Linked DNA regions of Tribolium castaneum. The protein of the gene in region 2 purifies or fractionates together with the protein of the main gene of each other region. This does not show direct contact. Links are inferred from orthologs where the notes say so. Each region holds a gene or a part of one and is shown on either strand. Other genes may lie near its edges. The genes, in order: Hmg-2 and PHD finger protein 14.

Region 1 (3,968 bases), on a different chromosome or scaffold from region 2:
GGAATAGTTGGAAATATTAATATCGCTTTAACTCGACTTTAATTATTGTTTTCTACACGCAATCAATTAATTTGACACAAAAACATGTAGTGCTGCTTCTGATATAAATCATCAAACGTGTCCATAAATGCACTTTGGGTTAATTAAACGGAGCCGCGTAAACATTTTTTACACGAATTTTTCTTCGTTTTGACCCGAAAAATTATTTTTGGAGCACAAAAAATTGATTCATAATGTCGGAGGTAACAATTTAACAAAATATAAAACACAATTTCGTAAATATCTTGCGGCATTTATTGAATATTCGTGCAGTTAAACAAAACAGAATAAAATTTAAGGAGTGTGCTTAAAAAAATGCGTAAAATATTATTTTCAGCTCAGTAGAGATCAAAAGTTGTTTTTTTATAATTCATCAATTTCCCTTGGATGTAAATGAGAAAAATGTATAATTAGAACTGAAGAAAAAAAATATTAAAAGTCAGCAATCTAAGAATCAATAATTTTTTGCTCTATTTTTTGTTGTGGAGATTAAATGTTTAAAATTTTTACTACCTGTTAAAACATAATTAAAGTAGAACAATTTCCAAAGGAATTAGCTACAATATTTTTTTTGGTGATGGGAGTAAAAATAAAACCAGATTTCATAAATATCTTGCGAAATTTATTGACGGAATATTAAATACATTAAATTAATTGAACTACTAAATACTTAGTAGTAATTACACAATACCTAACGTATGAATCACAGGACCATCATAACTAATCAAATCATAAAACCCACTCTGAAAGTGAAATAAAACTGCTATATAAAAAATTACGTGATCTTCTTAACTTTTCGTTTTCTCTTGGAAGCGCGACTTGTTTGTCATCCGTTGAACTCAAGCCGCCCGACAATATTCCTAACAGTATGTAAAAGGTTCGCGTCATGACTACTGTTCTCCAATAAAATCGAATGCAGATTTGTCATGTACGAGTCGATATTTTGCTGCGTTGCGACTTCTTTGACCCCTGGGAGCTTCACACCGGAAAAACCATTGGTTAACGTGCCCCTTAAATGATCCAAATGTTTTTGCAAAGACGCGTTATTTTTCTCCTGCTGCGAGATTTCAGACTCGAGCTTGGCAATGGCGTCCTTCATATTCTCGATATGTTTTTGCAAAATTGCGTTTTGTTGCTCATAATCTGTGTTCGATTTACGCAACTGGCGCAGTTCCGAGTCTCGCATTTTGTTGTGATCGAGAAACTCCTCCGTGAAGATGGGGATGTCGAAATTACCGAAATCCATATCGGGGATTTCCTTGTTGATGACCGGCTGAACGGAGCTCTGAAAATAGAAATTTCGGGGGCTTCCTTCCGACAATTACCGGGTGCGGGCACAAACAGAAAGCGCATCACCAAAACCGTACAATACAATTTTGTAGTTTTTTGTAATCTTCAAGATATATGGTTTAATTTTTTTCTAATAAAAAATTATGGACGTTTTTAGTGTATTCAATCAACTAGAAATACTTATTTTTGCTAGGGCCAAAAGACTTGGAACACCCTGTTAAATCTCTGTGATTACATATCACTTTTTTTCTACTTCTACAGATTTTTCATTACGTTCAAAATTTGTGACCAATCGAAGTGCATTATGACAACCACGTGACAACTTGTAACCAATGGCAATGTGCCACGATGCAATTATTACGAGTGACAGTAGTCTGACATTAAAAATAAAACTGACATTTTTAAAAACTGTATTTTTTTTAAATAGTGTATGCAGTTGTAATTGCATGGTTATTAAGACACGAGCCGCATGTACGGTTTTGGCCCGCCACGTCTTTGCTGCAACACGCGCCCCCTTAGCAACTCACCTTGCTCTCCTCCTTGCTCTCCTTCATTTTTTTCTCATTCTGTTGCTGCGTGAATAATTTATAAGCTTCCGTCTGCTTATAGGCATTGTATTCCCGCGTGTACCGCTCCCTGTCTTGCTCTGCAGCATCCAAATACTGTTGTTTTTTATCCGCCGGCAAATTCGTCCATTCATTTGCCAGCATTTTCGTGATTTCGGCGAACGACAAGGTGGGGTTGGCGCTCCGCACGGTCTCCCGTCTGTCATTCAAGTACCGCACATACCCTACAACCCCCGTAAGACACCTCTGGACGCCCCTCGAACTGAAACACTCACCGGTCAGCGGGTGCCGTGGGGCCGTGCTGTCTTTCGGTTTCTTCCGTTTCTTGGCTTTGGCCACTTTGGGCTTCTGCTGCGTCGTGTTGTCGGAGCTGTCGGGGGCCTTCTCGTCGTTGGACGTGGAGGCTTTGGGGGGCTTCTTACCATTTTCCGGCGGGACATTAGCCACTTCCTCGCTGTTTTCCATTTTACGTCCGGTTGGGAAGATGCTAACCAACGTGACAGTTGTTTGTAACTGTCAATGTTTCATTTGTTTTGGGGGGCCACGAGCGCTCCAAAGGGCCAAACGCGCCGAACCGCCCCATTTAATTCAATTAAAAGTCGGGCCAATTGGGCGAAATTAACAATAAAACGCGCGTTACTTTGCCATTTTGCAGGTTCCTGTACCGGGTTTGTGGCTCGATTGGTAGGTGGCGGGTGCGGGTAACGTCAGAATTGACTGGCATTGTCGCCAACTTCGAAACTCCCTAAATTTTGGGTTTGGAAACCAAACGATAGGTTCCAAAAAGTTGTGTTATTGAGGCATTGTGTTACGAAAGTAAAATTCCGGGTGCTTGTAAGTAGGAAAAAGCGCGTTTTTTGTGGCGTTTGTCGGTCACAAGGCGTTTTTTTGTCGTGTTTGAAAATCGCGTTTTTTGTAGAAATTCGTCTCCTTTGTGCAGTTTTTGTTTTTTTTTGTGTGATGGTATGAAGCACGGGTGCCCCCATGGATTATAGAGTGTTGGTTGTGGTCGGGTAAGTGTGCAAGGCCTTGGCGTTAAGTTAGGTTATCTTCCTGCTCGAGTTTTGGCAGCTGCTGTGAAGGCTATTTATTTTGGATTAATTTATGAATGTGTAAATGAATGACATGTGTATTGATCTGTATATTTAAGTCTGACGCTAATTTCGGCACCCCCGTGCCATTTAAAAATACACCGATGCGCTAATGAATGTCTTGAACACCGACCACTCGGGGGTTTATGTAAAGTAGAGGCAACTTTGGCGGATTATTTATCTCTGTGATAAAGGGGCGCAGGTATGCAGATTCGGGAAAAGTGAGCGATTTCGGCTTTCTACCTGGACTTGCACCATAGCCATCCATCCGGAATTACACCTAAAGGTATAAATAACACTTTTAGGGGCTATTTTCGGAAAACGGCAGCTTTTGGCGGCAAATATTTCGCCTTCGAAAACACCAACGCAAACATATTGCATAAAGGGATTAGTCAGCGAGAGGTTTCTCAATTTTACATTAAAATCACTCGCGAAGATTATCAACAGGTGTAACAATTGTTTACAAAAACGCTCATCTAAACCCACATTTCACGCTAGTTTCAATAGAGAATCAATTGTGCGTGGGAGCAAAAAACTCCAAAAACATCATTAATTAACTTCATATTTTGTTTCGTTCTTCAGTTTCTTTTTTTCAAATTTTGTGTTTATTTGTTCAGTTGTCCGTGTTAAATTTGAAGTAGGTTTATCAGATGAATAAGTGGAACACCTGTACTGTTTTTTTCCTTAAAATTTAATAAAAAAGTGGCCAATTTTTCATTTATTTTCACCAGACTACCTGTTTTGATTTCAATCTTTCCAATAGTATTTCTAAAAAGCATTTTCTTTTAAACAGATACTATTGTTGGGCTCTTTTTATCTTGTTTTCCATAAAATGTTGGGAAATAATTTCGTTCTTGGCTGAAAAACGTACCAAAACGCTCGAAAAAGAAAATTTTATTTTACAATAAAGTCCAATTTCGTGATCTTTTACAAAAAAGCTGAGCAATAAATTTAAAAATGTGGGTAACAATGTTCAAATAAT
Region 2 (4,365 bases):
TGCATAAGTGCGCAAATGATGTAATTAAAGATTTGTTTTTATGCTGTACGAAACAATCTTTGGCCCCTTTTGACGTAATTATTAATTAATAAATGTCCTGATAACGAAAAAATGTATTTTTCTTAAAATTAGTTTATTATTAAACATTGATTTTTCCTTTTTTTTAATTATGATACGATTCCGCTGAATGTTTAAAAAAAATTCAGTGTATTTTAAGTGTCCTAATATTAAAAAAAACACAACTAACTTATGTTTTCTTAAATGAAACAGTCTATATCTTATTGCATTTTTGGACGTTGCTTTTAATACCGATGATTTTGATCAAAACTTGCTTAAAAAATTATTACAGAAAACTTGGAATCCTAGAAAAGTATAAATTTCATTTTAAAGGAAAAAGTTCAAACTGAAATTTCTAGCAGTTATTTATCGTAATGCAATTAAGAACTTAGAAAATTTAAAAAGTTTGATAAAAGTTGATTAACTTGAAAAAGTTAAATGGAATACACAATTTCTTGTTTTTGCCTTTCAAAGATTATTAAATATTAAACATTATATAAAGTTCTAAACGTCTAATGAGAATAACTAAAAAGGTATTTTACTTTAAAAGTAAATTTTACCGTAATTTAACCATTAGTCAACCATAAAAGTCACAAAAAATTTATTAAATTTTATACTCCACATAAATATTAAAATTTTAGTTATTTCACTGTAAGGAATGACGAATAACAGCCTAGAGATAACATTAAAGTTATTATTAGCTAAAAATTTCACTTGTTGACAGTTGAAACAATAGTTAATCACTTTTTTATGGTTTAAAATTAAATATTTTTTTAAGTAGGTAATCAGAAAAATACACTTAACTGTTAATGTTTTTAGGAAGACAATTTAAAGGTCTTTTAGATGCAAAAATAAAAAGTATGGTGTGCCCAAAAGTGTTCCATTTAAAAAATTTCAGATATTCAACTTAATTACGGAAGTTGAAATTACATTTTTTATCTTTTTGAACTCAAGAATGATCTTTATATAAATATTAATTCTTACTTCTTCATTTTTTATCTTCTAGATTGCAGTAAGTTAAAAAATATATATCCTTTAAGTTCGAACTTTTTTTTTAATTTTCACAGCTATACTGTAAAAACATATCTGATAATAAACAAGTTATGAGGCTTTTTCGGAAAATTGGAACAGCCTGTATAATAAGTTATGCAACGCCTCGAACAATAATGCAGTAAACAGTTGCATAATTCGACCACGTGCCCTTACAATTTTTTTCCAAGTTTAGCGTCATTTTTGAAAAAGCGTGCTAGTCTTATTGTAATTAATCTCTTTGACAAAAACAATTATCATTTTTAATGAACCTAAAAAAATTCTTTGGGCAAAAATTCCCCGAAATTTTCCTTTCAAGTTCGAAGGCCGCCCTGGCAGAACCCCATTATCCTTCCATTTCCCCCCAAAATTCCCCCACCGGAGTCGAAATCGCCACCCGAATTTAAGAAGTACAGCGCCTCAGCTCCCACGAGGGACCTCTTCACCATCATGCCCAACCTCCTGGAGCGTGCCGAAGACATCGATTTCGTCACGAAAACGGCCAGTAAGTCGCCCTCCACCCCCTCATTTAGTAAAATTCACTATAAACTTTCCCGGTCACTTTTCGAAAATCGATAAAGCTCGACGCTCGGAAGCCGGTCGGGTGACGCGCAAAAGTGTGGTTATGGTTGCTTGTCAGTGATAAAAAACGCTTAAATTTATCAACAATCGGGGATTTGGGCCCCGAGATGAGTTCCCGTAGGTGCCAAAGCGGGGCCAGATTGCTCAACGGTGACTTGCACGACCGGAAGTGCTTTTTCGGGGTTGGCAATTTGGCAACGTTTTGATGTTTTTCGTTTTGAAACTAATCAATAATTTTTGCTAATGATGGAATTTTTAACAGTTGAGAGAGACCCGAATAAGAGGAGGGTTAAGCCGGTTGAGACCCAAGCCTCGATTCTGGACTTTGATCTCGAAGAGGAGAGCTCGGATGATTCGGATTTCCGGATTGAAGACCACCCGGAAGTGAGCGATGATGATGACTCCGGGAACAGTGCTTCTGGAGGTAACTCATCACCAATTCCTGACAGCTACAATCATTTTCGGGGGATTTTACAGGTAATGACAGCAGTGGAGAGGAGGAATCAGAAGGATCAGACTTAGACGAATTGAAAAATTTGAATTTGCCCAATGGGGACGGGCTATCCATTGCGGATGTCATCCAACAAGCCAATTTGCAGCTAAGTTCGGTAATTTTAATTTTATTAACTAAAATTAATCACAACGGCCACGGCCGTTAAGTTAGTATTTGTTGCCATAGAAACGGTTACTTAAGTCAAGTTAGACAGTTGACATTTTTCAACGATTACTTAAGTCAAGTTTGACACAAATATAACTATAACTGTCAAAAATAAATTTTGGCCCCCTTTTCCCGCAGTTCAATGAAAAAGACGCCCAAATTTTGATCTGCTGCGGCTGTCTCGGGGACCAAAGCGACGGCGTCAACGAAATCGTCGAATGCGACTCTTGTGGGGTCACTGTCCACGAGGCCTGTTACGGCGTCGCGGACTCCGCCAGTTTGAGCAGCACCGACTCTCTGTCCCCGACAGCCCCCTGGTTTTGCGAGGCGTGCAAAGCCGGCGTGATGAACCCTGTTTGCGAGCTGTGCCCCAATTCGGGGGGCATTTTCAAGGAGACGGACGTCGGGAAGTGGATTCATCTCGTTTGCGCTCTCTATGTTCCTGGAGTGGCATTCGGCGAAGTTGATAAATTGACAAGTGTGACTCTTTTCGAAATGCCTTACAGCAAATGGGGGGCGAAAAGTTGCAGCTTGTGTCAGGATGAGCGCTTTGCCAGGACGGGGGTGTGCATCGGGTGCGATGCCGGCATGTGCAAGACCTACTTCCATGTCACATGGTAAGGTTTTTGCCCCACACTGTATGCTATTCCAATTTTTTTTATTGGTTGGCAACATTGAAAAGCGATATCGTACAGTGTCGCCAACTCTTCACAGTATTTTTTTTTTTATTTATTTGTTTATTAAATGTATTTTTCTTTTTTTTTTCTTCCTTTTTGATTTATTTTAAAATTAATTCACTATTCGTTCTTCAGTATTACATTTGTTTATATTGACTTGACCTGACCTGACATATGTCAAATTGATAATATGTTGGCAAATCTTAAAATTAGTTACTGTTGAAAGCTGGAAAAATTTTAAATGATTTGAAGAAGAAAACTAATAATCTATGCATGTGAATTTTTTTCAGAATTTTTCCACAATTTATTGTAACAAATATATTAATAGATATTATCAGCAGAAACAGTCTTTCTTGTGTCATTTGAGAACAAGTGATATTTAAGTGTTTTTTTGGATAAAAAATCCATATTTTTCGGTTAGGTGTAAATAACATAAAGTTTTATTTTTTTAAATTGGAATCATAGGCGACTGTGATATTTGTGTAATACATTGTTTTTAAATATTAAAAAAAATTTCGCTTTTTTATAGTAGGCTATGAAAAAATTTTTAAATTCTCAGTTAAAACTCTGGAAAATGTATTACCCAACAAGTATTTATAATTTAATGATAAATTATTCTTAGATCAAATTTTTGCGATTAACAAAAATTATTTGTTTTTAAATTTAAAATGGCTAGCTTACATTGTCATTCTAATTTCTTATTAAACATGAAATTTCGGAAAAAGAAAAATTTTATTAATTGTACGATTGCCTGTAAATAAAATTTTATTTTACAAAAAATGTCAATTCAAACGCCAAAATCAAATCCCATCTGCGTTAAAAAAATACATAACATTATCAACGTCACCTCCATAGCACTTCACTAAATCACAAAATAATGTCATCAAATAATAGTGACATCGTTTTCAATTTTTTGCACATTTTTTATGTAATTGAAATCTGCGACCATCGTATATTTATTTAATTTAAAATAACTTTAACATAGCTTATTTTCACATCCGTTCATAAAATATCTAGATTATTCACACCTTTTGTGTGAAATAATTTTTTCATGGCCAACTACATTCAAATATTTGATATATATTTTTATTAAAAGTATATAAAAACATCAAACTGTATTTATATTGTTTTGAGTTCAGAAAAAAATAAGCTTTTCGAAAATGTCATAGCCAACTCTGATTTCTATTAAAAAAATACAACTTTAGGCTATTATAGCTAATCGAATGAATTAGAAAAAAAAAGCTGATAACATTATTAAATTTTCTTTAAAAAATGTTTTTGTTTCAAATGTGTATCTTTTATAATAAGGAAGATATGAATTTTTGAAGATTTCGCCAAACTTTTGCCTATAAGTCGAAAACA

Evidence for each region.
Region 1: the proteins of PHD finger protein 14 (region 2) and Hmg-2 purify together in Homo sapiens (affinity purification with mass spectrometry; 3 studies listed by BioGRID and IntAct, counting the BioPlex papers as one, with this or other methods). This does not show direct contact. The link is inferred for Tribolium castaneum from reciprocal best matches to the Homo sapiens genes PHF14 and HMG20A.

Annotation. Positions count from the first base shown.
Region 1 is NC_087396.1:21,976,427-21,980,394, reverse strand, and holds Hmg-2 (high mobility group protein 20A), read right to left. Parts: upstream 2,594-3,968; 5' UTR 2,361-2,593; coding exon 2,171-2,360; intron 2,120-2,170; coding exon 1,857-2,119; intron 1,325-1,856; coding exon 866-1,324; 3' UTR 640-865; downstream 1-639. UniProt on the Homo sapiens protein: Plays a role in neuronal differentiation as chromatin-associated protein. Acts as inhibitor of HMG20B. Overcomes the repressive effects of the neuronal silencer REST and induces the activation of neuronal-specific genes.
Region 2 is NC_087400.1:6,362,876-6,367,240, forward strand, and holds the start of PHD finger protein 14, read left to right. Parts: upstream 1-1,294; 5' UTR 1,295-1,536; coding exon 1,537-1,591; intron 1,592-1,653; exon of another isoform or gene 1,654-1,775; coding exon of another isoform or gene 1,776-1,785; intron 1,786-1,930; coding exon 1,931-2,092; intron 2,093-2,145; coding exon 2,146-2,276; intron 2,277-2,464; coding exon 2,465-2,943; intron 2,944-4,365. UniProt on the Homo sapiens protein: Histone-binding protein. Binds preferentially to unmodified histone H3 but can also bind to a lesser extent to histone H3 trimethylated at 'Lys-9' (H3K9me3) as well as to histone H3 monomethylated at 'Lys-27' (H3K27ac) and trimethylated at 'Lys-27' (H3K27me3).